2 linked regions of the Cricetulus griseus genome follow. The protein of the gene in region 2 binds, or shares a complex with, the protein of the main gene of each other region. Links are inferred from orthologs where the notes say so. Each region holds a gene or a part of one and is shown on either strand. Other genes may lie near its edges.

The links.
Region 1: Arpc4 (region 2) and Arpc3 share a complex: the UniProt entries of both Homo sapiens proteins name them as parts of the arp2/3 complex. The link is inferred for Cricetulus griseus from reciprocal best matches to the Homo sapiens genes ARPC4 and ARPC3.

The regions. Positions count from the first base shown.
Region 1 is NC_048597.1:102,226,573-102,230,222, reverse strand, and holds part of Arpc3 (actin-related protein 2/3 complex subunit 3), read right to left. Parts: intron 1,632-3,650; coding exon 1,532-1,631; intron 1-1,531. UniProt on the Homo sapiens protein: Component of the Arp2/3 complex, a multiprotein complex that mediates actin polymerization upon stimulation by nucleation-promoting factor (NPF).
Region 2 is NC_048601.1:31,418,140-31,422,291, reverse strand, and holds the start of Arpc4 (actin-related protein 2/3 complex subunit 4), read left to right. Parts: upstream 1-1,266; 5' UTR 1,267-1,360; coding exon 1,361-1,366; intron 1,367-2,232; coding exon 2,233-2,351; intron 2,352-3,309; coding exon 3,310-3,421; intron 3,422-4,152. UniProt on the Homo sapiens protein: Actin-binding component of the Arp2/3 complex, a multiprotein complex that mediates actin polymerization upon stimulation by nucleation-promoting factor (NPF).

The DNA of each region.
Region 1 (3,650 bases), on a different chromosome or scaffold from region 2:
TCAACCAGCACTGAAAACAAATTCACCTAACAGGAGGTCAAGGTGAACGAATCATCTGGCAGAGGAAGGGCAAAGGGACGAGGACACAGCTGGGAATTGTAACTGGTCTTGGAAACTGTGTCTGGAATTCGAGCCAGACATTTGCAGGCTCTGGGGTGCTGTGTCTGAGACAACAGAAATGACACCAACACCGAGCGGAACATCTCGGAACATGTCAGAAAGCTTCAGGTTTGAAAAGGGGCTTCTGGGCCTGGTGTTGGCAGCGACACATATCTTTAATCCCAGCATTGGGAGACAGAGCGAGTTCCAGGCCAGCCAGGGCTGCATAAAGAAACCCTGTCTCAAAAAAGAAAAGAAAAAAACCACAAACCAAACAAACAAACAACAAAAAACACTAGAAGTACAAAAAGAAAATTCAGAAAAACAAAAGCAAGAATAGAAATGAACAGGGTTTCAAAGCATAGGGAAGAGTTAGGATTGAAGCATGGGACACACGCCTGTTACCCCAGCACTAGGGAAGCAGGCGGAGGGTCATACTAACTGAGGTTAGCTTGGTTTCACTTCCATGCCCACCAGAGTTTCTACCTCTTCTGACATATCCCCCAAAAAAGGTCTAACACTGGGGTTTGGTGAAAAATAAAGACCCTAAGACTAAGAAACAGACAAAGGGGTGGACCATGGAGATAGCTCAGAGGGTAAAAGCACTTGCAGAGAAAGCTGAGTTGGGAGCCCCAAGACTGATGTCAGAACCCGAAGTGGTTTATAATCTCACCTCCACCTGTGTGCTGGGGCACATGCAGACCCTCACATACAAACAAGTACACAGCCTAAAGCAAACGACTTTTTTAAAAGTTGACAAGAGCAGTAATAGCTGTAATGGGCAAGGGTTCATTTTTCTTGTTTTGGAGATAGGTCTCCCTGTGTTGCTTAGGCTAGTCTTGAACTACCAGACTCCAGCTACCCCCTATCTCAGCCTCCTGGGTACAGCACCGTGCCCATATAATACTTTTTGTTGCTTGTCTTTTTCCAGTATGATGACAAAAGAAGGCTGAGGACCTGGCATTCAGTTAGTCTAACCTGACTGACAGTGACTGTGGGGACTGCGGCCAGAATTGAACACATTTCCTCTTTCCCTTTTTTGAGACAAGGTTTCATGTAGCCCAAGTTGGCCTGGAACTAGCTGAGGATGACTTTGAACTTCTGCTCTTCCTGCCTCCACCTCCCAAGTGCTAGGATTACAGGTGTGCGCTACAACACCTGGCTCACAGTGAACTGGGCGGAACCGACACTCTCCTGCTGCATGCTAGGCAAGGTCTCTACCTACAGAGCTGCACCCCCAGCCCACATTTCCTCTTCTGGCTCACCCACACACCCTGAAAGAGTGTGAAGGGACAGCGCAACTGTGATGTCTCAAGATGTAGAGTGTAACACACAGCAGAGGGAAAGTGACCCTGCTGTGCTCTTCCTTCATCTCATGTCAGAGGCTGGCTGGACGTTCTGCACCCAAATGGAAAAGAACACAGGGACTCACTCTCTCGAGGGGCAGGTCCTTTGAACTGACTTCTGATGGGCAACAGCGCCATGTTGCCGATGAGCTTCGTGTCAGGGTCCATGAGGGAAGAATGGTAAGCCTGAAGTGGCAAGCCAGGGAACAAAGAGAAAGAGAACCAGTGTCACCCGGTGAAAACACCCAGCAAGACCACCTTTGGGAGGAGAGGGGTGGCAGCAGCAATGGGACTAGGCAGCAGATTCTGAGACATTCTGTCAGCTGGTTGTTTAGCACAGCCATGTCCCCAAACTAAATCAGATATGCAAAAGAGGTAATTAGCACCAATGAGATCACCATTTTAAAATTACATTTTACCATTGCCTATGTCCTTATTTTTTTTCTTTCCAAGACAGGGTCTTGCTATGTATGTAGCCCCAGATGTCCTGGAACTTGTTACAAAGACTAGGCTGGCCTAGAATTAATAGAGATCTACCTGTCTCTGTCTCCTGAGTGCTGAGATTAAATGTGTGCACCACCATAGGCTTTACTGTTTTTTTTTTTTTTTTTTTTTTTTTTGTGTGTGTGTGTGTGTGTGTGTTTTGTTTGTTTATTGTTGTTGCTTTGCTTTTGAGACAGAGTTTCCCTGTGTAGCTGCGGCTGTCCTGGAACTCACTCTGTAGATCAGACTGTCCTGGAACTCACAGAGATCTGCCTGCTTCTGCCTCCTGAGTGCTAAGCCTGTGCCACTACATCTGGCTTTACTATCTATGTTCTTTCTTTCTTCCTTTTTTTTTTTTTTTTTGGTTTTTCCGAGACAGGGTTTCCCTGTGGCTTTGGAGGCTGTCCTGGAACTAGCTCTTGTAGACCAGGCTGGTCTCGAACTCACAGAGATCCACCTGCCTCTGCCTCCCAAGTGCTGGGATTAAAGGCGTGCGCCACCACCGCCCGGCCTTTCTTCCTTTTTTTGAAAAAGCAATTTATTTAATCTTATTTCACATGTACTGGTGTTTTTGCCTGCATTCATGTCTGTGTTAAGGTGTCAGACCCCCTAGAACTGGAGTTACAGACAGGTGTGAGCTGTCTTGTGGTTTCCGGGAATCCAACTGGGGCCCTCTGGAAGTTCGGTCAGTGCTCTTAACAGCTGAGTCATCTCTCCAGCCCGCTGCCTATGTACTTAACATTCTCTTCTATCTTATTACTATTTTGTATGTTTGTCTTCATGGATCTGGGGGCACATGTGTGTAGGCATACATGTGTTTGTGTGCAGAGGTCAGAAGTCAGTGTCAGGTGTCTTCCTCAATGTGTCCCCACCTTTGTATCTGAGACAGGGGCTCTCACTGAAACTGAAGCTCATCTACTGGCTCCATGGCCAGCAAACAAACCCAGAGACCCTCCTGTTTTCCTCTGCAGCACTAGGTTTATAGGGTTTGCTGCCATGACTGGCTACTGTTGTGGAGTCCTTATGTTAGAGTGGCAAGCACTTGGCCAATTGAATCTTCCTTCTCCCCAGCACCAGCTCTTTTGGAGACAGGGATTCACTCAGCAGCCCTGTCAGGCCTGGGACTCCTTAGGTAGACCAAGCAGACCTCAAGTTTACAGTGGTCAGTTTGCCTCTGCCTCCTGGGATTATATCCTTAGGCTAGAAATGTGGTATGTGAGGATGTGTTTCCTTCTGGTGGGAGCATTCCACAAAAGAAACCACACAAAACAGGTTTCCCATCCTCCAGCTAGCCAGGACCCAAGCCCTAGTTTTGAAATCTGCCACTTCCTCTATCTGTCTCCAATCAAGACTGCATGACTCTTCCTTGAGCCTGTTTCCCCACCCCCACCCCTTCAACCTCTCACTATGTGGGTGAGGACGGACTCTGAGGGCATCTTCCCATCTCTACCTCCCCAGTGCCTGTGCTGCGATGATAGGTCTAGATAACCACAGTACTGGTTTCAGGCACATGAGGCAAGTGCTCTACCAGCTAAACTCTACCGCAATTCCCACTAGCCTCTTTCTAAGCTTGTGAAAGGAGTAAGATACACCACACCTCTGGTGAGTAGGTATGAGCTAAAGGACAGGGAAAGTCGTACTGATGAACAACTTCACATGCTGGTTCCTGGTTTTGCTTTTTATGTCTGCTGTGAACAAAACCATTCATTCATCAAATGATAG
Region 2 (4,152 bases):
TCACGGTACCCCAAGGCAAGTGTCCACTCCTCCTTATTACTCTCGATCCCTTCCACCCCTTGCTTCCAGGCCTCAATGAAGGTTCTGTGGTGTTGCCTCCATTCAGGCTCCTTCCTCGTAGTGCGGTACGGTGTTGACCTTAATGTGTGTAAGCGCTGATGACCGCTGGCCCTTCCCTTCCAGGTTTTTTCGGGTTTGGTGTCTGTGGGTGTTCCGTACTGTTGCATCTCTCTTCCTACTGCTTTCCCCGGTCATGCTGGCTTTGATGACCTCAGTTCTAAATGCCGGACTGCTTGCCATGCTCCTGTGACTCGACTCTGGAGAGACACCTTGAAATTAGACCCTCTTGTTCAAAAGTCACATGCTTTTTCTAAACTTGTTCATTCTCCTGCGTTCCATGCCCTAACTGGTTTCATTCCTCAGCCTGAAAGCCGTATCCCTTTGACTGAGGATGTAGCTTTTCATTTTTAAGCATTTAAGTTTTTTTGCACTTGAGATCCTTCTATTCACTAAAGGGCAGACATCACAGGACTAGCCACCTAGAATTCACTTTTAGTTTTCTTACTTTGACTATTAACAAAATAATCAGATAACCATTACTTCAATGAAGGTAGAGAACATTCTATCACTCTTCCAAGGGTACACTCTACCCCAGACAACTACTAATTTCACCCTTCCGGTTTTGCCTTTTTTTGGTTAACATATAAATAGAATTCTCTAGTGTGTAGAGAAAACATAATGCACCGGGCTACGTGCAAACTTAGTTGTGTTTTTAGCCTTTCCCTCCTCTGTCTAACGTCTGGCTGTCCCCTGTGATGCTGTGCTTTCTCCACTCCAGTCTGTACTCAGTGCCTCTTCTGAGTCTCACTTCCCTCCATTCCATTCTCCAGAGAGCCTCTGCTGAAGTCATGTAACTTCCTCCTCAGAAAGTCCCAATGCTTCCTGCCACATTGAGAGAAAGGCTAACTCAGTGAACTGGCATTCTAGATTGTCTAGGGTTTTTATCCCAGCCTGCCATTGCAGCCTGGTCTATGCAGTTTAAAATGCTTCTCGCGGTTCATTTGTTCACTCTACAGGAAATTTGTAAAATGCTATGTATAGGAAGTACTGAGCTAGTTGCAACCAGCATAACTGAATAAAGTTAATGTGTGTTGACCATGAGAATTACAAGCTAGTGAAGGAGAACCAATTTAAGAAAATACATGAAGAATGTCTTGTTGTGAATTATGGTAAAGTGTACATATCATAAACTCTGGTAAATGCACTGAGGAGGAAGTCAAGAAGACCACTTTGAGGAAGGAAGAGGCCTTTTCAGTGAGCTGAGCTCTGACGGACTGACCTAAGCAATGAGGAGGAAAGAATGCAGGTGATGGCCAGCATGTGATAGGCCCTGAGGGGAGACAGAGATAACTTGAGAAATAATGTAGCTGATCATTAAGCTGACCTTGTCTGCTACAGAGAATGTCCCAGGTCTACTTTTTCTCATTGTAAACCCTTCGAAGGCCGGGCGTTAATGGCGCACGCCTTTAATCCCAGCACTCGGGAGGCAGAGGCAGGCGGATCTCTGTGAGTTCGAGGCTAGCCTGGTCTCCAGAGCGAGTGCCAGGATAGGCTCCAAAGCTACACAGAGAAACCCTGTCTCACAAAACAAAACAAACACCTTCCTGATCTTGTGTCTAGTCCATACTAATTTCCGTAGTATGGATTATTTATAAACCTAGTTAATTTTACATTTTGCCTTCCATTAGTCCTTGTGATCTCATCCAGTTGAGTTATTTGAGAGCAGAAGTTATCTGACTGAATTCCCAGTGTGCTCAGGGCATGGATCAATACATTTGTCCATGTAGGAAGCAGGTGGAGGGCGTGGACCCATCTAGATCAGTATCACCCAGCCTCATCACTGTGGCTTTTGGGGCTGGGTAATTCTTGTGCATCCCAGATGTTGGGTGGCATGACTTACGTCCATAGTCCCCACCCAGCCCCCAAGTCATAACAGTTTTTTTTCTCCAAATTTTGCTAAATGCCAAGTAGAATTGTTTGCTGCTGGGAACCACTGCTGCAGACTCCCGACTGGGCTGTATCTTGAAGGCTGGGTGTGTTCTGTTCTGTGTGATGACCACGCCTGAAGCTTTCAGTATTGTGTGTTCCATAGGAGCTTTGGCGGGGGCAGGGGGATAATGGCTTTGGTGTGGTAGACTCTGGTCCTTCCTAATCTTGGGTTTATTCCTGCAGACTGCCACTCTCCGCCCCTACCTTAGTGCCGTGCGGGCCACACTGCAGGCTGCCCTCTGTCTGGAGAACTTCTCCTCCCAGGTCGTGGAACGACACAACAAGCCAGAGGTGGAAGTCAGGTAGGGAAGAGGGTCAGAATGGGGCTGAGGAGAACAACTCACAAGAGCAGACCCTGTCTAAAGGGGCCATGTTGACAGGCCAAAACCCATGGAAGACCTACATAGCCCAAAGTGTGGCCCCTGGAGTAGCGCTGTGGAGAAGTGTCTCCGGTAGCATTACTGAGGCCACTGGCAGCTCCAGAAGAAGGCACAGGCTTTAGTTCCTAGAGTTGACATCTCTGTATTAATGATTTAAGGATCAGGACTTTTTTTTTACTTTTTATCTCATTAATAGTGCCAGACAGTTTAGACCCTCTAACACCCAAATATTCCATGTTTTGAATGCAGTTTTGTCTTGTCTGGCTTTCATTTCATAAGTAAATAAATATTTTTCCTTTTTGAAATTTCACCTGGCAAGGATATGCGAGACTACTGATCCCAGCACATGGAGGCTGAGGCAATAGCAATAGAACCACAGGGTCGGGGATAGCCGTAGCTACAGAACAGGTCTTTTCTCACGAAACCAAAAGAAGCTGGCTGTTGTGGTGCACAGCTTTAATCCCAGCACTCAGGAGGCAGAGGCAGGTGGATCTCTGTGAGTTTGAAGCCAGTCTGGTCTACAGAGTAAGTTCCAGGACAGGCTCCAAAGCAATACAGAGAAACCCTGTCTCAAGAAGAAAAAAAAAAAAAGGAAGCAAAGGGGGGAAAATCTGGGATGAACATAGTTGAAATAAGTTGTGTTACCAAATAGGTAATGAAGGTATTTTTATTGCTGGGGATTGAATCTAGGCCCTTGGGCATGTTAGGCACACAGTCTACAGCTGAGCCATATCCCCAAAATGATTGCTGTGACTCAAACAATTCTAACGTTAGGATGGACTGTGTTGTTACTTGATATACATGGTTTTCAAGTGGTGACCTTTACAGATACCTAGAAAGTCAATGGCATCAGCTTGGTCCTCTGATTTTGTGTTTTTAGGAGTAGCAAAGAACTCCTATTGCAACCTGTTACTATCAGCAGGAATGAGAAGGAAAAGGTTCTGATTGAGGGCTCCATCAATTCTGTCCGGGTCAGCATTGCTGTGAAACAGGTGAGTCACCATGGAGAGGGCACAGTTAGGAGCGCTCTTCACAGCCAGGGATCCCTTCTGAAAGGTCGGTGAGCTAGATTCAGAGCCTGCTTTCAGGAATTTACTTGGCATGATTGGCCAGAGCAGATATGGTTGCACATGCGTGTAATCCTAGCCCATGGAAGTCTGAGACTGAAGATGGAAAACCCAAGACCAGTCTGTCTGGGCTACTTGGTGAGTCCCTATCTGAAAAAACAAACAAAACAAAAACTGGGTCAGTGGAATAAAACTGCAACAACACTATCCCATAGCCCTGGCTCTGGATTACAAACAGGGAAATGCAGCCGGCAAGGACATAGGTGATGGTTGTGTGCACTTAGAGCACTATCAACCAGCACTGGTTTGATAGCCATAGTTTCTGACACTGCCATTTCATTTAAAAACAGATGGTACAACACACATGCACATATGGAATTCTCAGCAACAGCAAAAAAGGAGCAGACCATCCATTCTAGCTTGTCTTTCAGAAACAGCTGTGTAGGCTAGCAGTGGGTGGGATGATAACATCATGAAAGAAAAATGCCAACAAGAACACTGGCAAAACTATCAGAACTGAAGATCTGTTTTAACAGTAATTGCCCAGACAAATGTCATAGTGTTTTCTTTGTGCATTTTCTCTAGTAGTTTTATAGTTGAAGGACCTACTTCTAGTCTTTTATCCATCTTCAGTTAATTTTTGTATATGGTATAAG